Linked DNA regions of Nothobranchius furzeri. The protein of the gene in region 5 purifies or fractionates together with the protein of the main gene of each other region. This does not show direct contact. Links are inferred from orthologs where the notes say so. Each region holds a gene or a part of one and is shown on either strand. Other genes may lie near its edges. The genes, in order: anapc1, anapc7, anapc13, anapc2, cdc26, anapc4 and nek2.

Evidence for each region.
Region 1: the proteins of cdc26 (region 5) and anapc1 purify together in Homo sapiens (co-immunoprecipitation; 6 studies listed by BioGRID and IntAct, with this or other methods). This does not show direct contact. The link is inferred for Nothobranchius furzeri from reciprocal best matches to the Homo sapiens genes CDC26 and ANAPC1.
Region 2: the proteins of cdc26 (region 5) and anapc7 purify together in Homo sapiens (affinity purification with mass spectrometry; 5 studies listed by BioGRID and IntAct, with this or other methods). This does not show direct contact. The link is inferred for Nothobranchius furzeri from reciprocal best matches to the Homo sapiens genes CDC26 and ANAPC7.
Region 3: the proteins of cdc26 (region 5) and anapc13 purify together in Homo sapiens (affinity purification with mass spectrometry; 4 studies listed by BioGRID and IntAct, counting the BioPlex papers as one, with this or other methods). This does not show direct contact. The link is inferred for Nothobranchius furzeri from reciprocal best matches to the Homo sapiens genes CDC26 and ANAPC13.
Region 4: the proteins of cdc26 (region 5) and anapc2 purify together in Homo sapiens (co-immunoprecipitation; 7 studies listed by BioGRID and IntAct, with this or other methods). This does not show direct contact. The link is inferred for Nothobranchius furzeri from reciprocal best matches to the Homo sapiens genes CDC26 and ANAPC2.
Region 6: the proteins of cdc26 (region 5) and anapc4 purify together in Homo sapiens (affinity purification with mass spectrometry; 11 studies listed by BioGRID and IntAct, with this or other methods). This does not show direct contact. The link is inferred for Nothobranchius furzeri from reciprocal best matches to the Homo sapiens genes CDC26 and ANAPC4.
Region 7: the proteins of cdc26 (region 5) and nek2 purify together in Homo sapiens (affinity purification with mass spectrometry; 3 studies listed by BioGRID and IntAct, with this or other methods). This does not show direct contact. The link is inferred for Nothobranchius furzeri from reciprocal best matches to the Homo sapiens genes CDC26 and NEK2.

The regions. Positions count from the first base shown.
Region 1 is NC_091752.1:26,758,982-26,762,928, reverse strand, and holds the start of anapc1 (anaphase-promoting complex subunit 1), read right to left. Parts: upstream 2,801-3,947; 5' UTR 2,669-2,800; intron 1,529-2,668; exon of another isoform or gene 1,390-1,528; intron 857-1,389; 5' UTR 833-856; coding exon 617-832; intron 520-616; coding exon 355-519; intron 226-354; coding exon 183-225; intron 73-182; coding exon 1-72. UniProt on the Homo sapiens protein: Component of the anaphase promoting complex/cyclosome (APC/C), a cell cycle-regulated E3 ubiquitin ligase that controls progression through mitosis and the G1 phase of the cell cycle.
Region 2 is NC_091757.1:28,332,236-28,335,476, forward strand, and holds the end of anapc7 (anaphase-promoting complex subunit 7), read right to left. Parts: coding exon 3,217-3,241; intron 3,079-3,216; coding exon 2,961-3,078; intron 2,888-2,960; coding exon 2,691-2,887; intron 2,617-2,690; coding exon 2,392-2,616; intron 2,325-2,391; coding exon 2,174-2,324; intron 892-2,173; coding exon 702-891; 3' UTR 501-701; downstream 1-500. UniProt on the Homo sapiens protein: Component of the anaphase promoting complex/cyclosome (APC/C), a cell cycle-regulated E3 ubiquitin ligase that controls progression through mitosis and the G1 phase of the cell cycle.
Region 3 is NC_091744.1:86,652,942-86,656,919, reverse strand, and holds the start of anapc13 (anaphase-promoting complex subunit 13), read right to left. Parts: upstream 2,801-3,978; 5' UTR 2,600-2,800; coding exon 2,501-2,599; intron 1-2,500. Other genes in the region: pierce1 (piercer of microtubule wall 2 protein), read left to right, coding at 3,753-3,978. UniProt on the Homo sapiens protein: Component of the anaphase promoting complex/cyclosome (APC/C), a cell cycle-regulated E3 ubiquitin ligase that controls progression through mitosis and the G1 phase of the cell cycle.
Region 4 is NC_091745.1:17,485,645-17,489,144, reverse strand, and holds part of anapc2 (anaphase-promoting complex subunit 2), read right to left. Parts: intron 2,708-3,500; coding exon 2,588-2,707; intron 2,286-2,587; coding exon 2,168-2,285; intron 1-2,167. UniProt on the Homo sapiens protein: Together with the RING-H2 protein ANAPC11, constitutes the catalytic component of the anaphase promoting complex/cyclosome (APC/C), a cell cycle-regulated E3 ubiquitin ligase that controls progression through mitosis and the G1 phase of the cell cycle.
Region 5 is NC_091746.1:69,564,739-69,569,013, reverse strand, and holds cdc26 (anaphase-promoting complex subunit CDC26), read right to left. Parts: upstream 2,801-4,275; 5' UTR 2,666-2,800; intron 746-2,665; 5' UTR 724-745; coding exon 643-723; intron 488-642; coding exon 275-487; 3' UTR 257-274; downstream 1-256. UniProt on the Homo sapiens protein: Component of the anaphase promoting complex/cyclosome (APC/C), a cell cycle-regulated E3 ubiquitin ligase that controls progression through mitosis and the G1 phase of the cell cycle.
Region 6 is NC_091748.1:39,288,460-39,292,591, reverse strand, and holds the start of anapc4 (anaphase-promoting complex subunit 4), read right to left. Parts: upstream 2,801-4,132; 5' UTR 2,622-2,800; intron 1,989-2,621; 5' UTR 1,981-1,988; coding exon 1,873-1,980; intron 1,791-1,872; coding exon 1,685-1,790; intron 1,616-1,684; coding exon 1,483-1,615; intron 1,400-1,482; coding exon 1,325-1,399; intron 1,247-1,324; coding exon 1,220-1,246; intron 1,135-1,219; coding exon 1,090-1,134; intron 990-1,089; coding exon 905-989; intron 686-904; coding exon 578-685; intron 504-577; coding exon 333-503; intron 1-332. UniProt on the Homo sapiens protein: Component of the anaphase promoting complex/cyclosome (APC/C), a cell cycle-regulated E3 ubiquitin ligase that controls progression through mitosis and the G1 phase of the cell cycle.
Region 7 is NC_091742.1:7,800,782-7,804,751, forward strand, and holds the start of nek2 (serine/threonine-protein kinase Nek2), read right to left. Parts: upstream 2,801-3,970; 5' UTR 2,692-2,800; intron 2,684-2,691; exon of another isoform or gene 2,542-2,683; 5' UTR 2,526-2,541; coding exon 2,430-2,525; intron 1,932-2,429; coding exon 1,714-1,931; intron 1,649-1,713; coding exon 1,408-1,648; intron 1,141-1,407; coding exon 1,058-1,140; intron 977-1,057; coding exon 850-976; intron 687-849; coding exon 455-686; intron 1-454. UniProt on the Homo sapiens protein: Protein kinase which is involved in the control of centrosome separation and bipolar spindle formation in mitotic cells and chromatin condensation in meiotic cells.

The DNA.
Region 1 (3,947 bases), on a different chromosome or scaffold from region 5:
AATCTTTCCCAGTCACAGTGTGAACATTAATACAGCTGCTCTGGACAATACAAATCGTCTGCTCCACTTCTTCTGCAAAAAGACAACAATTAAAAGCATGTAGTCATTTCAATAAAGATAGAAAGGTAGAGCTGCAGCAATTCTTACTAGCCGACAACAAACGGTCTTAAATATTACTGTACCGTCATTGTTGTTTTGAAGAACAGCAAAGTTGCACCATAAAGCCTTCAGAAAAAAACAAGATTGTGTCAAGACCGGGAAAGAAACCATGAGATTTCATTGAGCTTTGAATTTAACAATTAAAATTTATATTTTCTAAACAGAAATTGATATTTGGCTTTCATATTTGCCAACCTGCTGCACTGGACTGTCAACAGTGAAAGCCTTGTACACACTAGAGGCTTGTGTCCGGCTGCCTTGACTCCAAACAACCACGTTTCCAGCCGCATAAAGCTCTTCTTCAAACATGACCTCCTCTTCTTTGACTCCCGTGCATCCCTTCCTTAGCTGCCACCATTCCTTCAATTAAACGCCATTCATTAGTGTGAACCAAAGAACTACTAAACAATAAACATGGCACATTTCAAATTAACGCTCAAAGATCATGCAATCTCACCCTCTCTCTCTCCTGCAGACTGACTTCCTGCAGAGACCCTACCAGGCCAGCAGCACCATCAGATGACCAGAGCTCAGAGGCTGGCTGGAGCTCTCGAAGCTGCAGGTTGAAGGCATTTGGATGGTTCCTGCAGTGCTCGCGGCCAAACGGGACAAACGACTGCAATTCCCCTGCGGCAATCATCGTGGCTGTCTCTTCATACACGACTTCCGACATGAGTTACAGATTTCAGCATTATTTCTGTGGCAAAATAAGAATAAAGATAAATAATTAGAAAGACACACACACAAATCTATCTCTCTAGACAGATAGACAGACTGAATCATGTGTGGAAGACATGAATACAATTTAGACAGAACAGTTAAAATAGCATTTTCTCCTATTCAGACCTGAAAACATGTTAAATTTTAAATAAGAACTCTGGCAACAGTTAATGTCTTTAAATACTGTATTATAATTTTATTTATTCTTAATTAAGATTCTATAAGTACAGTCAATTGCAGAATAGCACGAATTAAGTCATCACTTCTCTATTAAAGATTGTTACGATCGTTGTAGTCAACGATAGTTTCAGAAGCTACGCGTCTGTTCATAATAGGTTCGATAGGTTATTTTAGCAGCCTTAAGCAAAGCTCTCTTTTTATTATACAGCTGGAAGTAACCAAACATTAGCATGCTATAGCTAATCCCTCATATAGAACCACTGTTAATTGCTAGATAGCGTGTTAGCTAGCATTAGCATTAACAATACAGGGACATATTTATTCGCTTGCCTGATAATAAGGAATAGTCTGGCTCTTGTCGCGGAGTCCTCGTCTTTTATTTTTGTAAGGCTTGTTTGAGCACAACGGTGTGACCGCTGCGTACAGACAAAACGAGTCGATAAAGCTGGCAAAATAATGATTTGGCTACAACAGGTTTTCAAATGACCGCGGACATCTTTGCTGTCCAGCCAGCCTTTTCCTCCACGGCTCAGCCAATAAGCAACGACAAATTTACGTACTGGGAGCTGATTGGCTGTCGTGATCAGGACGGTCTGTGTTCGACTGTGCTCGACCAGAGACTTTTGTGTATTTTTTCTTTACTTTGTGAGTCTGTTTTGTAAAACATTAATAGTGAAGTCCCTTAACTTGTCTAAAAATACAAAACCAATTAATGTATAGTTCATACCACACAAACAAATCGATTTTTCATCGATAAGTCAAATTTGTTTTTAAGATTTTGGGGTAATTAAATTACAATGGTAAAAATAAAGACAAATGTGTTTAATAACTATGATTTCCAACCATCAATACGTAGGGATATTGTGTTTGACAAATAATACATATTGCTGGTTTGTACCCGGCTAAAATGGCCGTAACAAAAGAAAAAGATACCTGGTTAATAATGTATTGAATTAAAAAATAAAACCAGACAAACATATAAAAACAAAAATTAGCATTCTGGTGGGTGAAAATCAGATTAGAAATTATATGGTTTGAATGAGTTGACTTAATGTACATACAAAGGTTAGAAATCAGTCAAGCTGAAGAAGAAGAAGAAGAAGAAGAAGAAGAAGAAGAAGAAGAAAATATCTTTTCTATAGCGCCTCTCAAGATAAAAATCACGAAGCGCTTCACAAAAAAAAGTAAAATATAATGTAGCGGAATATAATTGGTATATTCTTACACTTTTATTAAGGTCCAGAGATATCACTGATTCAAACCTGAGCTGGATCATTAATCTTTGGACCGGGCCCTTAGAATCAGAAGAGGTTGTTTTTACCACAGGGGATTTTATTCAAACACCTTGTATTGAATTAGAGACAAGAAGAGAGAAAGAGCTGGGACGTTTAAGAATATTTATTTTATAATTATTCGAAACAGTCACCAGGACTAACTCTCTAATGATGGATGCAGATGGATGTAAGCTGAAGTGTTGGTGTGTGTGTGTGTCAGTTCAGAACCTCCATCTGGTGAAAGCGAGTCTGAGTGCGAGTTGTTGTTGCCCTAACTGATCGACGATGGACTTCAGGAGGAAGACATGAGACGCTATCTATGCCGATCTACGTACCGTGCGAAGACCTCCGTGTTAGATCCAGATGCCAGGTCCTCAACCCTCCTTGGTGCTGGAACTGGTGAAACAGCGTCGGCAGCACAACAAACCAGTCTATGGCAAGTCTCCCGGTACAACGGCAGATTTCAGCGTCACATAGTTTTCCAGCTTGACAGTTCTCAGCTTAAAAGTAGAAAATACAACTGGCCAGCCTGTACTTCACTTAGCGATGATGTACATCAGATGGATTTGAGAGCTGGTTGAACTCACGTTGGAACTACGTTGAAACTTGCGATGGAACTAAATTAAAATGGCGTTGTTCTCTTTTACTAAGCTCAGTTGTTTATGATTCTTAGCGAATCGGAGTGGACAGATTAACTAAACACCACAGAGCTCTGCCACACATCAGAAAGGAAGTTCTGATTGGATGAGTGAACAATGTGTCATGTGTTTACCTTATGTGGATCAGGATGTCTAGCTCAGTTAGTCCAAAGTCCTGTTATTCATTAAACACAAATCATAACATTGTGATTTCACAGATCAGTCACCTGATTATTATTGACCAACAGTTGTTTTGATTAGCTTTATTAGAAATAAAGTTCTTTGATTAACTAATGAAAAGCATTCTTCGTCCTTCTTCTGTCTTCTTTGCTGGAATGTAAACATCACAAGCAAGCGCACGACCTTGGCAACTTATGCACACTGTCACTGTGTCAAAGGGCAGCTGTTAAGGGCAGAAATGGCATATTCATAACGCTACAATAAAAAATAATTTAGAAAATAATTAGAAATATATTTTAAATGAGCAAAAAATAGACAATTGTGATAAAAAATGTAAAGAAAGAGAGAGAGTGAATAGGAAAGAGGGAGATCAGTGGATCCTGAGGAAGGTGGAATAGGTAGGGAAAGCAGAACAATGAGAGGGTGATGACGGTCATACCAAAACCAGCTTGAACAGGTGAGTTTTCCACTGGTTTTTAAAGGAGACCACTGAGTCCACTGATCTCAGGTTCAGGGAGAGAGAGTTCCAGAGTCTGAGGGCCACAGCAGCAAATGATCTGTCACCTTTGGTCTTTAGCCTGGTGTGCTGCACAACCAGTAGGCTTTGATCACTGGACCTCAGGGACCTGCTGGGGGTGTAGGCACTAAGAAGATCACCAATATAAGATGGTGCTTGTCCATGTAAGGCCCTATAGACCAGAACCAGGATCTTGAAATGAACCCTGAAGTTGACTGGCAGCCAGTGAAGCTGGAGGAGAAGCGGGGTGATGTGGGTGTGTTTGGAGGACTTGGTCAG
Region 2 (3,241 bases), on a different chromosome or scaffold from region 5:
CCTGGTGTCCTTCTGATGTCGTCTGAGGCTGGACACACGATACTGCAACAGTAAACTGTTATGGTTTAAGAACTGTTTCAGCACACAACCTAGCTCTAAACCAAACAAGTTTATTATACATTTATTACAACATGTAAAAAAAAAAACACTGGAAACTTTGCACTTGAGTTGATGTTTGAGTCAGGCTGGAGAAATCTTCCTGCAACACCTTCAGCCCCAGCCACACTGGCAGACAACAGCCACATTTCGCCAGTGCTGGTGGTTTGTTTACTCACCTTCAGCTCAACTAAAACACTTCCTGTACAGCACGGGCCTCCATCTAACACAGCACTGTGAAGGGTACTGGAGGTCAGATTCAAAGTGAAATGAGAAAGCTCCTCAGGATTTCTCACCAGAGAGAAGCATAATCACCATTAGTGGTACTGGGTGTCCCTTGGTTTTACGTAGCTGATGGGGTTTGTTATTTACAAGTAAATCCTCCTGATGGAGGCCGGTGGTGGCTGGCAGGTCCGGTTCTGGCATGAAGCTGACTCTTAGTAAAAAACCCCTCAGAAACATTAGCTTTTACGCTTGATAGCTCCCCCATCTTTAACCTCAGCAGCACCGCTCCCATGGAGCTCACCATCGTGATCACATGACTCCCAGGGGCCACAATGGCTGAAGGCATCCAGTGTGATGGAGCAGTCCTTACTGGCACCGGGTCACTGCATCCCAAACCACTGCTCCTGATCGGCCCACTGGGCTGCTTCACTGTCACTGCCCTCCAGATCTCCGTCCTCTCCGCTGCCCTCCATGTCGTCACCATCCAGCTCCACCGTGGCGTCTGTTGGACTCTCCTCCTTCTCCATCTTTTGCATGCCTTCTAAGGACTTCTGATCATTAGGGTCGAGGCTGAGGAGGGGCAAATGCAGAATGTAAATTTTTCTCATAACACATCATCATCATCACAATGTGAAGTCTACTGAAACCGTCGGAACGGTATTATCCATGCTGTTGTAGCCTCCAGGAATGGTCAGTTTTCCACCTACAGTCGGACCTCTTCAGTATCTGGCCGTTTGGAGACATAAGTCTTAACTGGTGCTTTCAATCTGCAAGAAAGACTGTTGCTTGGCCAAGGTCCCTCGCAAGCTCTCATCTAAGACTGGTTTTTATTCACAGAACAAGACGGATGAACAATATCAGTAACTAATCATATAATCATGTAATGAAATGGACAATGTGGTTAAATGAAATAACGTCACTGCAAACAGATATTTTCTTATCCACAAATTCAGCACTTTCATATCTGAGAGGTGTGTATCGGAGTTTGTTGGCAAAACCCCTTTACAGGGCAAGTTCTGATTCGTCAGTAAACCAAGATATGGCCGTTATTTAAACAGCATCACTTCCTGAGGGATTCAGTAGAGCCCAACTCTGACTGGCCATCGGAGGGAAACTCTGCTCCCATCGCATCTTTGACAAGCTGTCAAAACCCTGTTGCACGCTACAGCTGACCGCAAACGGTTCCTTCAGAACAAAGCTGAACCAACTTCCAACTCCTTAAGAGTTATTCCTAAGACGCAAACAACTACCCGTCGTGACCTGGAGACATCTCGAGACCGGTCTAGTCGGCACTGCAGTTTCTTCTACGGACTTCGGTACCTTTGGGGTCCCCGGACTTCAACACATTCCGGATCTACCACGGGGGTCTCCCAGAGGATACGTAGGCTCACAGATTGCGTCTGATGTGGTTTTACAAACCATCACTATAGTTATAGCAGACCAAATTCACTCCCACTCAGAACTCAGTTTCTCCAGATACGACGGCTCTGATAACGTCACATCATCACACCTCACTTTCCATCCACTTAGATTCATTCATCACATGAAGTGTTCCTAGTTGTCATGTTTTTAATTGTTTAGAAAATAAATGTCTTACTCTTTATAAACTTGACTGATTTAATACGAAGTGTCTGACAATCCCTGAATAAACAAAGAATTCTAAATCTTCTGGTTAAACATTCAAAGACCAATCAGACAGAATTTCCATATTTAAATAGAAATTCATATCTTGTTGGTCAAATGTAGTGTGGTATATTGAGCTTTAAAAGCACCCAAAACACATACATATGCTATCCCTACACTGTGAAGGTGAAGGGATCTCAGACAGGCTCTGAAAGATTGATCTGTTTACCTTAATGCTATACTGTACTGGTCCATGGCCTCCTGGTAATCGTTGACAGCTACCAGAAAATCTCCCAGCATCCTGTGCAGGACACAGTCGCTTTGATTGGCCAGGGCATTTCGTAGGAGAGCAATCCCCTCTTCGTGTTTCTGCTCTCGACCTGAACAGAGAAACCTGTGAGTTGTGCTCCCTCCCTGGTTAAAGTTACAGTTGTTAGTTGAACGTACTGAGCAGCTCAGCCTTTTTCACCACAGCCTTGGTGTAATCAGGTCTCTGAGCAAGTGCTTTGTCCAGAAGGGTTTTGGCTTTCTCCTGAGTCACAGGGTCCTCCAGGCACACGGTGGCGAGGATGGTCAGCGTCTGAGCATTGGCCCCCAGGGTCTTATAGATGTTGTTTGCCATTCCCATTGCTTCTCGAATCCCATTGGACGCCAGGTAACAATCAATCAGACCTGTGGTAATTCAGTTATTGTAAGCAGGCGAGAAACACCCAGCACCGAAAGACTTTTCCAAAACCCCAGCGTGCCTTCATAGCAGTCGAGTCGACAGGGAGCCAGACGCATGGCCTCTCTGAAATGGATGATGGCCTCTTGAACCCGACCCATGTTTCTCAGGGCTGCCCCTTTCAGGAGGAGGGCCTGCACGCTGTTGCTGTTCAGCTGGATGGCCTTGGCCCCCAGGTAGAGGGCTCTGGAGTAGCGCTTGCTATAAAAGCTGTGACAACTGAACAAAAACATTTAACCTGATAGAAGCATCTTCACAAAGGTCTAGTCGGGATGTCTGCTTAGAGACTCACCCAGAGATCACCCAGGGTTCAGCATGCTGGTCAGATATGTTAAATAATCTCCCTCCTAGGACTTCAACATCCTCCAGGTGTCCCTCTCGGGCCATCAGGTAGCCATAAACATCCATCCCTTCATGTGATTTAATTATATACATTAATATAAAAACAACTGCATTTCCTCCACAACAGCACTGAAAAAGATGGTCAAGTTAGGAAAACCACACGACTGCTAGGCGGTCATAGGCATGAACAGCTGTCTGTGACTTACCTTTGATGAGGTAAGGGTCCAACAT
Region 3 (3,978 bases), on a different chromosome or scaffold from region 5:
TTCACCCAAACACTCGGGACCTGTAACAGGCGGTGGTCTGCTGATTGAAGAATTCGACCAGGTACGTAAGGCTGAACCATCGATATATATATATATATATATATATATATATATATATATATATATATATATATATATATATATATATATATATATGGACAATGAGTTTCCATAGGCTCCAATTAAAAGTTTTTGTGCCAAAATGGGAGGTGGCCACCACCGCCATTTTGACCGTGTCACAGGTTCCGTCAAGCCCAGACAATTCCACAAAAGGGAAGAGAGGCGGAGCTGAGGGTGGGGCTGTAAGGCTGGGATCAACTGACGACACCCGGTCAAACTGAAGCTAATGTAGCTACAAGCTAACCTGAAGCTAACCCAAAGCCAACGCGGAGGTGGGAGCTAAGCTAACGAAGGTAGCAATCTAGCTACAACCGGAGTTGAACTGGGCTGAACCAGCTGAGTCAAGTAGAGAGGCACATAAAGATAGTGACTTAAAAACAAGAAGTAAAATTTTAAACTGGGAGCCAGTGCAGCTGGGTCAGAACAGGAGTAATGTGCTCCCTCCTTCTGGTGTCCGTCAAAGGGCAGGCCGCCATATTCCACACCAGCTGTAGGCGCACAACCGAGGAAGACGTGGATCCATAAAAAGGGGAATTTGCATAATCCAAGCGAGAGACCACAAATGCATGGATCACTGTGTGCAGGTCGTGTCTAGTCAGGATGGACTTCCATCTTTGATAGCCGATGAAGCTGGAAAAAGTAGGATCTAACCACCTGGCTAATGTGGGAGTCCATCTGCAGCTCCGGGTCAAAAACCATCCCCAGGTTAGTGATGGTTGGCTTCACTAAGCTGCGAAAACAGGGTGGTAGGACAGGACTAACTGAAGTGGGAGAGGGAGGAACAAACAAGAGAGCTTCCAACTTAGACTCGTTCAGATGTAAAAGGTTATTATAAAGCCAGCCATTCACCTCATTCAGGCAATCCACAGCCAGCTGCACTGACTCTTGAGGTTTTAATGAAACATAAAAACACCAGAGGGAAGAGAGGAGGTTTCAGAGGCAAAATCCCCCAGCCTCACACAAAAACTTCTGTTGCTGAGGTACGATCTGAACCAGTTTAGGGCAGTTCCCTGGATGCCCACTACCTGGTTCAGTCGGGACAGAAGTATAGCATGGTCTACGGTGTCAAAAGCAGCTGTGAGATCCAGAAACACCAGTAGAACATGGGAGCCGGAATCAGTGGACCACAGAACATCATTAAAAACTAAGAAGGGCAGTCTCAGTACTATGACCGGGACGGAACCCGGATTGCAAAGGGTCTAAAAGGTTAAAAGTCTGCAAATGGTCAGAGAGCTGTGTAAAAACATCTTTCTCAAGAAGCTTAGATAAAAATGGAAGCTTCCAGGGAGGTGGAGTCCAAACCAGCTTTCTTCAAAACTGGTTGGACCACTGCCTGTTTGAAAGCCTGGGGGATAACTCCAGGGGCTTGTCTCACAAAACTCAGAGCTGCTCTTGTCCTCTGAATGGATTAAATTATGATATACTTCTATAAAATAAATGCTTTAAATATTATTAATGAGGGCTGTGCAGTGGTTAGAGCTGTTGCCTTGCAGCAAGAAGGTCCTGGGTTCGCTTCCCGGCCTGGGATCTTTCTGCATGGAGTTTGCATGTTCTCCCTGTGCATGCGTGGGTTCTCTCCGGATTCCTCCCACAGTCCAAAAACATGACTGTTAGGTTGATTGGTCTGTCCAAGTTGTCCTTAGGTGTGTATGTGTGTGTGTGTGCATGATTTTTTGTCCTGTGTGTCTCTGTGTTGCCCTGCGATGGACTGGCTCTCTGTCCAGGGTGTACCCCGCCTAATTGCCCGTTGACCGCTGGAGATAGGCACCAGCCCCCCCGCGACCCTACGTGGACAAAGCGGGTTCAGAAGATGGATGGATATTATTAATGACACATTGGGCACTTTTCTGGGCTGATCAGTGACATCACTCACTGCCAAAGCAGTCGTGACCCGCTGACGTCTGTGCAAGTTCTGAAAGGGCTGAATCTGAATGGAGACACAACAGCTGAGAGGACTGGGACATCCTATCTCCTGGTCAAGTTCCCCATCCCAGGAACTACCCTGGAGTTCTGGTAATGGAAACATGCCTATTGTGACATCATATGGTGCCAGCTGACATCATAGGGTACCTCTTAGCCAATAGCGATAGCAGATTTAAAATTACCTGAAGAGGGTGTAACACTGACAGTTCTGGGCAGAATATTTAAATTTTAACTAAGATGCTCTAAAATGCCAAATTATTGACTACATGTGTCTACAGCTTGATTAGACACTTATTTATGTATTTTATCAGCAAAAAGAAATTGATTTGGGGGTGACTTGCTCTTTTTTATAATTCACAAATGATTTATTTTGAACTTCGGAATGGTCATTTGAGGGATACGTTACCATTTGTTTAACCACACTGTATTTTAATGCAAACACGTTTAACGTTTTTACCAAGGGGATGGTGACATCCTCATACGGTAGTTTGTCTTCTCTCCAGGCATCATCAGTCAGATCCAGGACTCTCCCGTCTCGTTGAATTTCACTGTCCATTTCAGGTTCAGCAGCTGAAACAGCTCTCAACAAAAACCCACTCAACCTCGCAGGGAAAGCTGAAGTTCATCGAAATAAAAGAAGAGAGCAGCGGTAAATAATTTCGATAGAATATACACTTAGAGGAGACGCTACGCTTAGCTCACAGTAAACAGACGCTTAATTTAGACGTAGGCGTCGACGCTTGATGATGACGACACAACGATACCTTCAGGTGCAGTGGAGAGTTTCTGAATTTTTTTACAAAGCCAACAAAGTTCTATATTTTGACCAGCAATTTAATTCAGTCTGATTTATTCAATGTTGTTGTTTATCAATAAACCACTCTGTTATAAAAGTAAAAAGCAATCAAAACTAAAAAAGATGAACGATTCCGTTTCCTTCGTCTAAGTGGTTTCCATGGAAACCAGACGCATCGTTTTTCTTGACCCACGGAAGAGCTGGCGACTGGCGAGGCCTGATCAAAACAGCGCGGACATTTTTGCGGTATTTGTGTATTTTAAGGTAATTAGTATAACAATGTACGCAAACAGCGGAGGCCCTAGTAAGCCTCAGACGCATCTAGTTATGTATGTATCCAATAATCCTGTAAAAATCCCTAGCCGACTACTTCAAAACAGGAAATGTTAGCTAAACGTATTTGTCTGTGGGTGCGTGCGTGTGTGTGTGTGTGTGCGTGCGTGTGTGTGTGTGTGTGTGTGTGTGTGTGTGTGTGTGTGTGTGTGTGTGTGTGTGTGTGTGTGTGTGTGTGTGCGCGCGTGTGCGGTATTAAAGATGTGGTTTATTTGTCCTCAGATTTTAAATGTCACTAAATAATACTGTTTGCAAAAAGCACTCACATAGCCAAAATTTTAAAAAGCTAATAATAATGCAAGCTGTTTATAATTTAACAATATAATTTTAATATTAATTTTATATATTAATAATAATTTTGTACTTTTTCTAAGCAAACACACACACACACACACACACAAATATATATATATATATATATATATATATATATATATATATATATATATATATATATATATATATATATATATATATATATATATATATATATGTAACTACTGAAGTTGACTTCAGCAGGATTGGTCCTGTAGGGGTTGAGTGTTGTAAACTTTTCTTTTACTTTGCAGACACTCCAGTGATGTCCCTGTCACAAGAGCAGCAGACAGAAATCACAGAACTATGCACTAGCCCTGGAAACCCAGCAGTCTCTTCCATTACCACCTCGGCAACTAGAAGCATGAAATCAGCAACAAACCCAAACATTGGAAGGATCCTGTACAGGACGACTTCAAGTGCCTATGGCAGTTTCCCTCCGACCCCTGAAAGCTCACCTCACTCCTACCACCCAAAGTCTCACAGATTTA
Region 4 (3,500 bases), on a different chromosome or scaffold from region 5:
AGGGCTGAAGCAGAAACTACCGTTGTTAAAAGAAATGTGTTTAACTTTGAAAACGTGGGCACAATATTAATTGTCAAAAACTCCAACGAACCATTAGTTCATTTTGCTCAAATAGAAATAGAGGCCTGCCTCTAATACTGGCCCTCCTTCCAACAAAGGCCTGGAGCTTGATGAGCTTGAGTCAAATACAGGCCCGGGCCTGTATTAGAGGATTTACGGTATATATGTAGGTATATATGTGTATATATGTATGTATATATGTAAGTATATATGTAGGTATATATGTGTATATATGTAGGTATATATGTGTATATATGTAGGTATATATGTGTGTATATGTAGGTATATATGTGTATATATGTATGAATATATGTGTATATATATGTATGTGTATATATGTGTATATATATGTATGTGTATATATGTACTGTAAGTATATATGTGTATATATGTAGGTATGTAAGTCTATATGTGTATATATGTAGGTGTATATGTGTATATATGTAGGTGTATATGTGTATATATGTAAGTATATATGTGTATATATGTAAGTATATATGTGTATATATGTAAGGTGTATATGTGTATATATGTAAGTATATATGTGTATACATGTAGGTATATATGTGTATATATGTAAGTCTATATGTGTATACATGTAAGTATATATGTGTATATATGTAAGTATATATGTGTATATATGTAAGTATATATGTGTATATATGTAAGCATATATGTGTATATATGTAGGTATATATGTGTATATATGTAAGTATATATGTAGGTATATATGTGTATATATGTAGGTGTATATAAGTAAGTCTATATGTGTATATATGTAGGGTTATATGTGTATATATGTAGGTGTATATGTGTATATATGTAAGTATATATGTGTATATATGTAAGTATATATGTGTATATATGTAAGTATATATGTGTATATATGTAGGTGTATATGTGTATATATGTAAGTATATATGTGTATACATGTAGGTATATATGTGTATATATGTAAGTCTATATGTGTATACATGTAAGTATATATGTGTATATATGTAAGTATATATGTAGGTATATATGTGTATATATGTAGGTATATATGTAGGTATATATGTGTATATATGTAGGTATATATGTGTATATATGTAGGTATATATGTGTGTATATGTAGGTATATATGTGTATATGTAGGTATATATGTGTATATATGTATGTATATATGTGTATATATATGTATGTGTATATATGTGTATATATATGTATGTGTATATATGTACTGTAAGTATATATGTGTATATATGTAGGTGTATATATGTAAGTATATATGTGTATATATGTAGGTATATATGTAAGTCTATATGTGTATATATGTAGGTGAATATGTGTATATATGTAGGTGTATATGTGTATATATGTAAGTATATATGTGTATATATGTAGGTGTATATGTGTATATATGTAGGTATATATGTGTATATATGTAAGTCTATATGTGTATACATGTAAGTATATATGTGTATATATGTAAGTATATATGTGTATATATGTAAGTATATATGTAGGTATATATGTGTATATATGCAAGTATATATGTAGGTATATATGTGTATATATGTAAGTATATATGTAGGTATATATGTGTATATATGTAAGTATATATGTGTATATATGTAAGTATATATGTAGGTATATATGCGTATAACTTTGTGCTTCTTTCTGTGCAACTTGTTTTTTCTCTTTTTTTTCGGTTCATGGGTTGAGGTTGTGTCGGCCAACCAGTCCAGAAACTATATTGTTCATATTTTTTTAAGAATCATATGATTGTTTCATTTGTATTATTGCTATTTTAGTTAAAAGGGGCAGATAACATACGTTTTTCTTCTTTCTGTCCCCTTTTTCATTTTGGCTTTTAGCAATTTAGTTTTGTATTTTTATTTTAATGTCAATAAATGAAAATATAGTTGAAAAAAAAACCTCCAAAGTGTAAATTAAAATGTGAATCAGAAGAACACAGTGGGTGTAGTGAAAAAAAAAAGACTTTTATTAAAGAACGAACAATTTATAACAAGATCTGTGTTGTTCTATCAGAAGTATTTCATCAGAAGGTTGAACTGTTCCAAGTGGTGATGGTAGACTAAAGCAGCGCTGGAAGAACCGGACCTACCTGAGGTATTTACGGATGGGCTGGCAGGCCACCTGCAGGATCACCATGGACGGGTCCAGCTCTCGGAGAGCTTTGATGGCTGAGATGTAAACGGTGAGAATGTCGGCCGTGTGAACGCCTGGAAGAACAAACAGATTCCACATAAAACACGTGGGCTTGATAAAAAGGAAACGTTTCTCTGACGGGAACAAAGAAATGCTTTTAGCTCTCCACTTGTTTGTTAATAAACAGCCAGTTTTAGAAATCTAAACCGGTCAGTTTTTTACCTTCTATTCAGAAAAGCTTCTTTTTCAGCATTTTAATGCCTTTTATTTTTTACCACTTTGGTTTTGGTGCATTTTTAGTCTTTTATTTTAACCCAACGTGAACTTTGCAGTTTGATCTCAGAGTTCAGTCGATGTCCTTCACACTGACACAGACCTGGGTGCAGCAGGCGGCTTTCAAAGGCTGATTTCAACGACACGAGGAGCTGCTGCCTCTGGTTGGTTCGCTCCAAGCAGAACTTCAGATCCTCGATGGCAGCTTTAGATTCCGGAAAATCTGGGAAACAGAAACCAAGGAGAGAACATGATTTACCACAGGGGAATAAATCTGACCCATTTCCAGCCTGAGGTCAGCTTTGATGACAGAACTTTACTGAATCTTTGGGTTGTTTCTATTAAACAGAAAAGGACAGAGAAATGAAAATTTTCAGACACAAACAATAAATAAAAACAAACTCCTGGTTTAGTTTAAAACCCGAGACACAGACAGAGAACGATCATCGTCTCAGAACCAGTTTTAGGTCTCAGACAGAATCTAGGTTACATTTCTGAGATCTCATCCGTCCCGTCTCTCTGTGCTGAACCAGAAACCTCACACGGGTTTTGTTTTTCAGACGTGAACAAGCCAGAAACTGAAAATGTCAGATTCTTCTTCATCATAAAAGTAGATTGTAGGAAGCAGATTTAAGGACAAATAATAAATTAGATCATGAAGTCTTAAATTAATATTTTGAATTTATTCTGATCACAACTGAAAGGAAATATCCTGGTAATAAAGATTTTTATTCCAATTTTTGTTTCTTAAAGGGACTTGACGGAGTTTTTAATTTTTATGCTCGCGATTGCCCCCTCAGGCCAAAAGCATAACGGCAGCTTCAATAGTAGACTCGTGCACGAGGCGCGCATGCTGTACGTGCACACTCCTTAACGAAAATAACAGCTGAGACAGTCCCTTTTGTGTGTGTGTGTGTGTGTGTGTGTGTGTGTGTGTGTGTGTGTGTGTGTGTGTGTGTGTGTGTGTGTGTGAGGACAGAAGAACGTGCAGCTAATTAATTAAATAATGTGGTTCT
Region 5 (4,275 bases):
TCCATTTATATAATTTATCATAAGAGGTATTCGGGCTGCTCTTTTTCTGATCCCTCACCCGATGATCTTGTCTGATCCTCTCCACTGTTGCATGCAGCGACAGTGGAGAGGAAAACTCCCTTTTAACAGGAACAAAACTCCAGAGGATCATGGCTCCATATAAGCAGCCATCTGCCATGACTCACTGGTGTAACGTACCAGTGGTCCACACACACACAAACACACACATACAAACAAACACACACATACATACAAACATGTTTTCTGAGTTTTATTAAAACTGCAAACTTCCAAATAAGGTTGGCAGCGTGGCGGGTTTAGGGTGGGGCTTGTAGCCGATTCTCTCGTTGATCAGCTCTGCCCTGGACGCAGCAGTGGAAGAGGATGCTGAGCCAGAAGCTGCACCCCCAATCAGATCCACACCAATGACAGAAGCTCCACCCACTCCTCCTCCTGCCTCAGCTTCTTCTCGCTGACGCTTTCTGGACTAAACAAAGAAAAACAAACATGTTAAGATCAACAACCTGTTTTCATCTGATGTCAGAAAAACCAAAGACAGCAAAAAAAGCACATCAATAGTCACCCTCTGATTAGATCTGGTGACGACAGCTACAGGTCAGAACAAAGAAGAGTGACTGAAACCTCAAGCTCTTTCTTGATGCTCTCAAACTCCTCTGTGTCATCGATCTTCAGCTCCAGACGAGTTGGTTTCCTCCTCAGCATCTTCCTCGTTTTTGTTATGCACCTGCACAACAAATACTAACATTTAGAAAAACAATCGACTAGAAATATTTTTTACGTGTGATGTCCGTGCAAATGTCCCCTGCTGAAACCTGCTGAAACCTGATGTTTAGTGGACCGTAAACAAACATGAAGTCGCTCTGTAGCAGGCTATGAGGCCAGGTCGTAGATGTGAGCTGGTGGTTAGGAGGTCTCATTTGTTTAGATATTTTATATGATTTCTTGCCTTTGACTCCAAACTAACAACACTGAAGGAGCTTGAATTTCCTCATAGTAGGAATATTTTTAAATCTTTAACAGGAAAAAAAAAGCCAGTGACAGGAGCGACCCAGAAGTTAAGAAGCCACGGCATTGTTTTGTTTGACTTTAATATTGGCTGAAGTGGCTAGAAGCTAACGTTTAGCCAATATGGCTAACAGTGAATTAGAAACAAATAGTTAGCGCTAAAAATAGAAGACCAACAACTGGATATTACAGTCAAACAGATGTGTGAAGTGAATAATCATCGTAAAAATACTTTCTAAAAACTCAAGTTCACTGTAAAGTAAAAGCAAACGAAACAGTCGAACAAGCATTAAATGAGTGGTGCATTCAAAAGCACGATAAAACGTCAAACATAGTTACAGGGAAGAGAAAAGCTTCAACAGGTGGAGGGTTCAGCTGGTAATGACTTCCACGGAGAGGGGTTAGGGGGCAGACGTCCCACGGTGACAGGACGGGCAGGGGGACTGTGCCGGTTGATGGCAACTGGGGAGTGTGTAGAAACCTTTATGAGATGGGAGAGGTACGAGGGGCAAGGTTGTGAGTGGCCTTATATGTGATGAGCAAGATTTTGTAGTCAGCCCTGAATTTTATCAGCAGCTCAGAACTACATGATGGACAGCAGCAGCTCAGGAGTAGAGCGGGTTGTCCACTAACCCGAAGGTGGCAATTTCGATCCCAGCTTCAGACAGAGAATGCTGCCGTGGTGTCCTTGGGCAAGACCTTTACCTGCTGGTGGTGGTCGGAGGGACCGGTGGCACCAGTGCTTGACAGCCTTGGCCGTCAGTGTGCCCCAGGGCAGCTGTAGCTACATCGTAGCTCATCTCCACCAGCGTGTGAATGGATGAATGATGCACTGTAGTGTAAGGCGCTTTGGAGTCCTCAGGCTCTGAAAGGTGCTACACAAGCGTGGGTCGTTTATCATTCATTTACATGTTTCACTGATCACGCTTCTCACTGCTCAGGTCACTAACAAGCCCTCCAGATGCTTTATCATCTCACTGCAAAGAAAGCATCCAGTAATTCGTCCTAATGTTGGTTCTGCCACTGCTGACAAACCTCCACCTTCACCAGCAGGTGGCACCACCGTGCATTGTGTAGGACCTACTGATAATTCAAGTTAGAAAAATTCACCCAACATCAGAAAACCAGTTTTTCTTAACCTAAAAGGTTTACCAAGCCGGGCACAAGAGTATCGATCAGCTGTGACGATTTGGCGCCACTAGGTTTAGGGTCCTACTGTGGAGGAGATTAAAAATTCACCTAATTAAAGACACATTTATCAAAAAATGTTAGGAGAGCAGGGCAAGTTGATTTATGTGGCAGACCTACAAGAGTTAGCCTGTAGGGGGGGAAAACCGCGTCTAACCCCGCAAGGAAGCCCCGCATGGATGGGGAAAACACGCAACTCTATGAGTTTCGAACCTGCAACCTTCCGGTTAAGGGGGGGCTCTGGGCTCCTGTGCCACCGTCACCCCATCAACGTAAAAGCGTCGCAAGCAGAGGTTTTAAATAACGCAGGTGTTGCGGGTTGACTCCACACAGCGTTATGTTCCAGAACATCCGAAGTTGTTGAGGCGGAAAAGTCGAATCTGTGAACATCATGTCAACTTTACTTCCGTCCACCCGAACCCGTTTGTGTGACGAACCCAGGTGACTTTACCTGACGCACCGAGACTCTCCTTCGTCCTGATCGTCAGCTGTTTGGTTATCTGGCTAACAGGTAGATTGGTTAATTACCCATAAGTCCACGGATCCACCAACCGGAAAAAGAAGCTTTGACCCGGAAGCCAACAGTTTCATATCCGGGTTGCAGTGCTAGGAGACGTTGCGGCTTCGTCTGTTTTTACGGTAAGTTTGAACAACAAAACAAACGAAGCTTTAAAACAGAGAAACACGCTTATGGTCCAAACAGCAGGTGCGCGTGCTCGGCTAGACACGCGTGTCCGTGAGCCGTTAGCTCCGAGTCACGTGCGAACATCAGAACGCTTCTATGGTTTCGTCGTGCGGTCCGTGTGTGTTCTGCACAGCTACGGTTACAGCACCAGTTCACTACTGGTGTGGGTTGCAGCACCAGTTCACTACTGGTGTGGGTTGCAGCACCAGTTCACTACTAACTCACTCATAACATCTATGATAGCTTCCAGGCAGTCAGGTTTTCGTAGAGCTCGTTCTACTGAAACCAGGGCCGTGCAGAGACCTTTGACGGGGCGGGGCTCAAAGTAAAAAAAAAAAAAAAAAAAGGGGGCACTTTTAGATCAATCCAACAAGTTAAAAAAATCTGATAATGAGACCCTTGGGTTCAAACAACATAATAAAAATTTATCAATTAGTGTTAATGTTAGTTAATAAATAATGAACTAACCCTAACCCACCATTGCGTGGGCGATGGTGGCACAGGAGTTAAGATCTCGCCCCGTAATCGGAAGGTTGCAGGTTCGAGCCCCGCTCAGTCTGTCGCTGTCGTTGTGTCCTTGGGCAAGACACTTAACCCACGTTGCCTGCTGGTGGTGGTCGGAGGGACCGGTGGCGCCTGTGCTCAGCAGCCTCGCCTCCGTCAGTGCGCCCCAGGGCAGCTGTGGCTACATCGTAGCTCATCCCCACCAGTGTGTGAATGTGTGTGTGAATGGGTGAATGACTGATTGTGTTGTAAAGCGCCTTGGGGGGTTGCAGGACTCAGAAGGCGCTATATCAAATACAGGCCATTTACCATTAATAGTTTGTCACTGGAGAAACAAGTTATTCAGTTCTTTGGAAGTAAGGGCATTTCTATTGACAGCACCACTATAGCTGCATGCTACACAATTCCTAAAAAAACTGGAAAAAAAAAACAAAACAATAATTCAGTTTGTGAGCAGGAAACATAAAGTTGACTTGTTAAAGGTCGTAAAGAAGCTTAAGGGCACAGGAGTGTATGTAAATGAGCACCTGACAAAGAAGAATGCAGAGATTGCCTGGCAAGCAAGAATTCTGAAGAAGGAGAGGAAAATACAGGATACCTGGATAAGGAACTGTAAAGTAATGATCAAGCTTACTGGACCACCAGAACAGGCTATGGTGGTGAGCATCAAGAGCCTCTCTGAACTGGAAAAACTCAAATGATGAGAAGAAGATGGTATTTAATTCATGGACACAGCAGACTACAAGAAATCAGGAAATAATAGATTTTTTTTTAGGTTTGTCAGTGATGTAGATCATAAAATCTAAAAAAAATATCAAATCTGATAGATAATGGAGTTGACTCAGAAATTAATGGTTGCAGCAACACCCACC
Region 6 (4,132 bases), on a different chromosome or scaffold from region 5:
CGTTCATCTTGTCTTCCTGTAACGACAACCCCCCTAGCCGCTCAACCCCCACCACTGCTGTGACACCCACTCTCCGCGCGCCCTCATGGACACCGGAGGAACACGTTGCTCCCAAATACACCCCCATGGCTTCGTTCAAGGGATCTAGTCTTTTGAACTGCTCTTTAAGGTAGACGAACAACTAACGAGCAGCCGCCTTGAAAGAGCTATAAATCCCATCACTAATAAGCACACATGCTAAATTCTGCTAATTGTCCAACAAACTCACACAGCAGGCAGGAAGTGTGGTGGTCTGCCAGGAAAAACTCTGACAGGAAACAAAAACAACTGACCTGAACAAACTTAGTGAGACGATGATCCATCTGCAGGAGGATGTCCTCCCACGCTTCGCACATGCATGTGAGTGACAGGTGCAGGTACTGCATCAGGGTGGAGATGTGAGTGAACTTACGCGCCATCCTGGTGAGTTCAGGCAAACAGTCCGACAACAATCCTGTGTCCAGCTGAAACACAAGGAGGGAAGTTAGAGTTAAAGGAAAGAAAAACAAAGTGTGGAGGAGGAACGTGTCCATCTCACCTGGACGTAACAGATGTCTGCGCTGCTGTCAGCAGACTTGACTTCTGTGATGACAGACAGAGACTTGAGGTCACTCGACAGACTCAGACTGCGACATGTTCCTGAAACCTGTAGAAAGTTCATCAATTAAAGTCACAGTCAAATCCGTTAATGCCGTCTACTAAAGATTTTTGGCATAATTAGCTACTTTTTTCCTGCATTTAAATTAGAATTTTTATGATTTCAAATATCTATGCTAACTTTAGAGTCACTTAAAAACATTTTTGGTAAATTTTTTTTACAGACGACAAATGGAACAACTCATCTGAACAAACAGAGCTGCCTTACCCCATCCAGCGTTGCAATCTTGTACATCCCGTACGCATACAGCTCCACATTTCCACCATCTCCTCCAAGAACAAGTACATTTAGTCTGCATGGAGACAGCTTTCATTGGTTCCCATAAATAAAAATTCCAATATCTTAAGGATGTCCATTTGCTCCTGGCAGTAAGTGACTCTAACCATATTTACCTCACTTCTCCAAGGAGGTTGAGTATCTCATCAGACTTCTCCTCACTGTGAAACAGAAATGAATGCAGTCAGTTTCTGTTTGTGCTATACATGCCACATACATCTATGATAAAAAAAAAAGATGTCCCACCTGAAGATCTTTGAAGTTGTGCTGTAGCTGAAAACAAAAGTTTGGACAAATATCAGGCCAGTCAATCCAAAATGTCTTTTCTTGTGACAACATTTTTAATTTTACCTCTTGGGAAGAGTTGGTAATTTAGGAAGAAAAAGTTTAGATTCATCCTCTGAAGTGTAAAAGGAGCTGAGGACACTGAATCACACACAAAAAATCCTTCATATCAGCTTTGACAAGATTTCACAGAACGTGGTATGTTTGTTGAGCTTCCTGATTACCTGCTCTCCTCCATCACCTCCATCCAGTTCATACAGGTTACAGGACTCTGCACTGGAAACATGTGGAGGATCTCTGCTTTCTCAACCCCACAAAGGACAACCTGCTTGGTGTCTCCAAGACTGAAGGCCAATACTGGGGTTACAAAAAACAAATTCTCACAATTCCATTAAGACAAAAATGTGATAAAAAAAAATCCCTTACTTTTGCCATCAGGCCTCCAAGCAAGTGCGGTTATCTTCTTTCCAGTATATTCACTGGGTGGTAGGCTCCAAACCCGGTGGAAACTAGCCAAGCGATGCAGTAGCACCTGTTGAAAATCACAATAATAAACCATCCAAACAACAGGAAACAGTCACCTTGATTCAGAACAGTTAGGGATTTAAAGTCACCTCCCCAGTTGTGTTGGCCAGAGCTATCAGATCCCTCTTTGGAGACCATGCCATACAGAGGACCGGGTTTGGAAGCTGCTTCTCTCCCACTTGCCGAAAGGCAGGCATGTTGTTAGCTGAAAAAGAAAGAAAGTTTACATTCATTATTGTGTGATAAATGGCCAGCAGGGGCCTAATTACAAGGTTTAGAAGATGTACCAAGATGGGCTATTAAAAGTGAGAACAGATTCAATGAGTGATCTGTAAAACATCTAATAAACCTGTACATGCATAACAGAATAATCATCAAAAATCACATACCTTTTCAATATTTCGTTTACTATTGAATATACAACTGATTATTAAATATTAAAAATCTTTTTCTGTAAAGATAATAAATAATTGTAACAATAAAGAAAAATAGAAATGTTAGCATTTGAATACAGAGGCCCAAATGCAGAGTCAAGAATCAGTAATGAAAGAACCGAGTTATGAGCATGACGTCAGCAATAAGACACACTAAACAATACAACTCAATGCGGAGAGCAACGAGACCTTAAATTACACTGCGATGGAGACGAGCTTTGAAACATTTATGTGTTTTCTGCGTGATAACAGTAGAGTTTTCAGGGTCACAACTAAAAGAGAAAACATTGAAGTACTTAACGAGATTCAAAAACAAAAAGGGAGCTAAAGGCACAACACTTTTCCATTTCCAACTCATTTTATGAAGCATAAATTAGCCGCTCGTTAGCTGGAGCCTCACTCACCGGTTTTGCTAACAGCTGTTAGCTAGCAGGTAAAACTGATGATTCACAGCGATTATTTTAACCCGACCAGACGATAACACCAAATAAACCCAAATCGTAAATATACGAATTTAATATCTCATCGTAATATTTTCGCAGTCACTCAAACACCGCCATATTTCTACTTCCACCAATCCCTGTAGAGCAACGGCAGCCGAGAAGAGACAAACGTATTCAGAAGGGGGGGGGGGGGGGGGGAATAAAAAAAAACTCGATTCCTAAATATGTCTAGAGATTTGCACCCCATGATGGCGCCTTTGGTAAGGATTTAAAACAAATTAAAGTTAACGTTTTGGTCCTATTTTTATTTTTTAATAAATGTTATATTCTATGCAGATTAAAAAGTAGATTTAAACTTTGAGGGTTTAGGACAAAATATAAAATAAGTTTTTTCATAATGTGTTTTTGTACTTCTCTGTCAATTGAATGCATTGCTTAGAATTTGTTTGGATTTAAAAGTTAAAAGTGATCATAAAATTCAAGGTTGACTAAATTATATTAATTCCATTAGAAATATAGGAAAGTTTGCAAGGGTGGTTTCATTCTGGTGATATAAAACTATGCTAAAATATTTCAGTACTCATAAATAGATGCTGTACACATGTTATATGGAGACGTCGCCATTGGATAAAGTAGTTATTTATAAATAACACTTCATACAGAGGGTTGGGTGATGACAATTGTCAAGTAGAAATCCAAATTACTCACCAAGTGTTTGCACACGTGTGTATTGTGAGTGTATATGGAAACTCCTACTGGACTTATCAGCAGCACTTAACTGTAATCAGCAGAATGAAGAAGAGCCAGAATAGCTCAGAGAGCACAAAATGTGATGGTGGACTAGAAATAGACCAAGTGAGGCTGCATGGTGGTCATGGTTTATTCTTTCCAAGGCCCAGGATATCTGTCTCGCTTGGTGAGAAATCAGGAAATGCATGAAGTTTAACAAAAATGCTGAGCATCATTCCATATGTGTGTGCAGAATGGAATCGGACCGAATAGTGACCGGGTTCTTCAAGATCCTCATAATAATTTTGAGTTGTTTTAAAGCCATGGAGGAACCAGCTCAGTCTGAGAGGTCAATGGGTGATTATTGTGTGTTTTCAGATGTGGCCAGTTCAGATTATCATAAAAGATTACAAACATTCTGTTGTACTTGCATACAACAGCACAATTGGTGTGAAACTTAGCCATCCCAACATCCTGTGCTTTCTGTGTATAATTAACCAACACCTTGAGCTCCTTCTGTTCACCTAGACCCCCTCAGTCTTCATTGCTCCTGCCAGCAGTCTGGCTGTGTAACATGAGCTAGGGGCCAAATTTAGCCCCACTCAGAGAGCAGTTAGGGACCAGCACAGATGGGACAGCAGCCCACTGCAGAGGCAGAACGCAATTGGACCCTAAACCTGAAAGATCCTACCTGTCATCTGACCAATAAGGCTGCTCTTCTGGGGAGAGAGGCAAAGCCTCTT
Region 7 (3,970 bases), on a different chromosome or scaffold from region 5:
TGACTGTAATATTTGTTTTTTGTTAAAGATAATAAACCAGTTCCATCCACACAAATTGGTTTGACTACAACGCATCAGTCTTTAACCAGCACCTTTAGTTACAGATACGCTTATTTCATTTATTTATTGCTGTGAACATCACCTACAGGGTTCAAATCAGTGCCACCTACTGAAACAAATGCTTGTTTGTTTTTCAAAAATGGGGAAACTTTGCTTTATTCCCCAAACAGATTCTCCCTTTTTAGTTCTTTCTAAAATCAGCATTAGGAACTTTAACGTTTTATTTGCAGGTGGAGGAACAAACTTCTTCTAGATAATGAATTCCACAACAATCAAAAGAAGGCTACATATGTTGCTAATCATTTGCATTTTTACAAAGTGACCCAACTTCTTAGAAACAGGGTTAAATATTACCGTTCTGTTACACATGATGTTTGTGTAGCACAAGTCTTACTCTCAAGTCTCTCCTCATGCTCCCTCAGGGCGAGTTCCCTGTCCCGCACTGCCTGTTCCCTCAGTCGGAGCTCTGCAGCTGGGATAGACACTTCAGCTGGCTTATGGGGGGCGCGGTCAGGGTCTGGAGACTTCCTTTGGGTCCGTATCTGTGCCTTCCTCTGCTCCTCGGAGACCACGTCTCTCAGCAGACTGCTCTGGAGGATCGACTCCACAGACGGCCTCAGATAGTCCTGCCAACAGTGAGGAATGATTTCAATTCAAAAATACTTCATTGATCCCAGAGGAAAATTCAAATTTGTGCATCATCACAGCAGGAAAACATGCACAGTGCCTACAAAAGTGCACAGCCATCTTACACACTATTACAACATTGTTAAATAATTCATTCCAAACCTTTAAGTTGAGCATCTTGCTGAGTAAGGCATTCAGCTCCTCAGAGTACCGGTATGGGATTCGTCTGAACTTTCCCTCTCGGATCTTCTCTGCCAAGTCTTGCTGGTTGTACGCTGTGAACGGAGGCCTAAATGAGAAAAACCCAGGGAATATTCTTAGGGGTGTTGGAAAACTGCTACAGGGAAGGAAAATGTGTGGAAGAGCTTACAATAATGCACAAAGTTCATACAGCAGGCACCCCAGGGACCAAATATCAGACTTCTCGTTGTACGACATCCTGTTAATTTGTTCCTGCAAGAACAATAATGACTGAAATTGAGTCATTTCTATAAAAAGAGAGATTTTTAAATGTTTATTTTAATGTGTAAAATCTATTTTTAAACTGTAGATCTGGAAAAGCAACCGTCTCATATACAGGTGAAAATGATTCATAACTAAACAATATAAATAAAATTCTAGTAATATGTTCAAATGAAGACAATAAAACAAAAATTGCAAATATCCCAGAAACTTTTATAATCAAAAGCTCAACAGATGTGACATCATCAAGTAACTTACAGGAGACATGTAGTACGGCGTTCCCACAAAAGTCTTTGCAAAGCTGGTGTCATGGTTCAGAATCCTTGCTAGACCGAAGTCACCGAGCTTAACGTTCTGTTTAATGTCGAGGAAGATGTTGGCTGGTTTCAGGTCCCGATGCAGGACCGTAGCCCTGCCGTCACGCCGCCTGTGACACTCCTTCAGGGCCAAGGTGAGCTGAGCCATAACTCTCAGAATGAACCTCTCCTCCAAGTAACGCCTGGAGAGGAACTAACTTGTAACTTTGCAGATTCACAGAGGACAGACGCATTCGTGAGCCCTTACCTTTCTTTGATGCACCGGCTGATGAGACTGGAAAGGTCTCCACCTTCACAGTACTCCATGACGATGTAAAGCGTGGTGTTCGTACGATCTATGATGCGGTCGTAGTATCTCACTATGTTTGGGTGCTTGAGCTCCCGCAGCAGGTTCACCTCTGACACCAGCATCTGCTTCTCACTCTCTGCCATGGTGCCGTAGTCCAGCTCCTTCCACACCAGAATCTACAGAACACATGGGCATCATTTACAAAGAGTTTTGTCGTGAAAACATACAGTTTTTACTCCAATTAAGAAAAAAGGGGCAGATATGAAATGTATTCACTAGACGTAAAAAGGGCCTTTTTGTCAAATGAAATCCTTTCTATCCTGAAATACTAATTAAAAGCTGCAAAAGATTTCCAAAAGGAGCAAGTGAATGGTCTCTTAGGCTGTTGAATATATCTGGCAACTATAAACTACTTTGCAGCACTTTTTTAAAATCTTATATTGTGTTAATTCTGAGTATATTTTGATAGATTGGTGTAATTAGCAATACAGACTGTGTTTCAAACTTATTAAAATTCTAAATGTTTAATTATTTTAATGTTTCACACACATTTTTTCAGCTGTTAAGAGTCCCAATCACTGCAATGAACAACTACAGGCACTTTATGGCGAATCGTCTTGCTTTAAACATTTTACCAGCTGTTTTTTTTAGACTTCGTTTGGAGACATACTCACTTTCCCGTCATTTTTCCGTCTCACTTTCTGGCATCTTCCATAGGAACCGGAGCCTATGGTGTACAACACCTCGTAGTCCTCAACACGGGTCGGCATCTTGTTTTAGTCAACGCTAGCGTCAACGTTAGGGCAGATTCACACAAGATTTAAAGCTCGTTTAAACCAGAAACTTCAAAACTTATTGAGATTTTTAGCAAAGTATCGTTTGTCTGACCAGATGATTAAAAAAATAGAAATGTACGTTTACTTATTATTTACTCACTTAAATCGCTTCTGTGTGTTGTTTGTTTCTCAGAATCAGGAAGTATTTCTTCTGTTTAAAATTAGTGCTGAAATACCAGCTCGTGATTGGCTCATTCGCTCCATCTTGTGGCTTCGGATTGGTCAATGTGAAGAAACAACTCACGAGGTTGTCAGGTACCTAAGTACCGCGATAGTAGCGCGGGTAGACGGTATTATTGTTAAACTGTCCACACGATGGCGCTAAAACCCATGGTATGAATGACAGGACCATGATGACATCTAATATATATATATATATATATATATATATATATATATATATATATATATATATATATATATATATATATATATATATATATATATATATATATATATACATACATATATATATTTTTCAATATTTATAGAACAAATCAAACAAGTGTTTTGACGAATAGATGTTGTGATAAAAACATATAAATTTAACATTGTATATTTCAGTAAATTGTTTGGGACTTTTTATCAACTTTGTGATTTTAAAACACCTTCTGCTCGGTTAAACTTTTAATATAAGTTTTAAGCAGGTGTTTTATAGTTGATAATTTGGCTATGTAATGTTAGCCTTTTTAGAGAGATCTGTTTGCTTGTGTTTTTAAAACCTTTTTGTTACAAATAAACCCATTTTAAACTCCTCCACCAGTTCTTATGTTACCCCCATCCTTCACATTTTTACAACACCTGTCGGGGACGTAACAAATTGTCTCGACAGTGAAATGAAACAATCTAAATCATTTTCTGTATTTTAAAAAAGTGTCAAATGTCTCATGATGAAATAATAGAACTTAAGTAGGCTGATAGACTTGTTTTGTGTTGGGGGTGTGAGGGGTGGTGGGTAATGTCTTGATGTGAAAAAGAGGCAGATATAAGTTTTTGCTTCTTTCTGCTCCTTTTCATTTATGATTATTTGGGAACATGAGTTGTTTTATGTAACTTTTATTTGATTGATTGAATGAAATAAACGAAGAGAAACAAACTCATATTGTTCATTTCATTACATGATTTAATTATGAAAGTTCCTCCTTCTTGTTCTGTGAAGCAAAGCAGTCTTAGATAAGAGGGAGCTTGCGAGGGACCTTGGGCAAGCAACAGTATCTTTCTTGCAGATTAAAAGCACCAGTTAAGACTTATGTCTCCAAATGACCAGATACTGAAGAGGGCACACTGTAGATGAAAACTGACCATTTCTGGAGGCTATAATAGGCTAAATACCCCAGAATACTGCTGTTAAATTACAACTGTTTAACTTTGAAAATGGC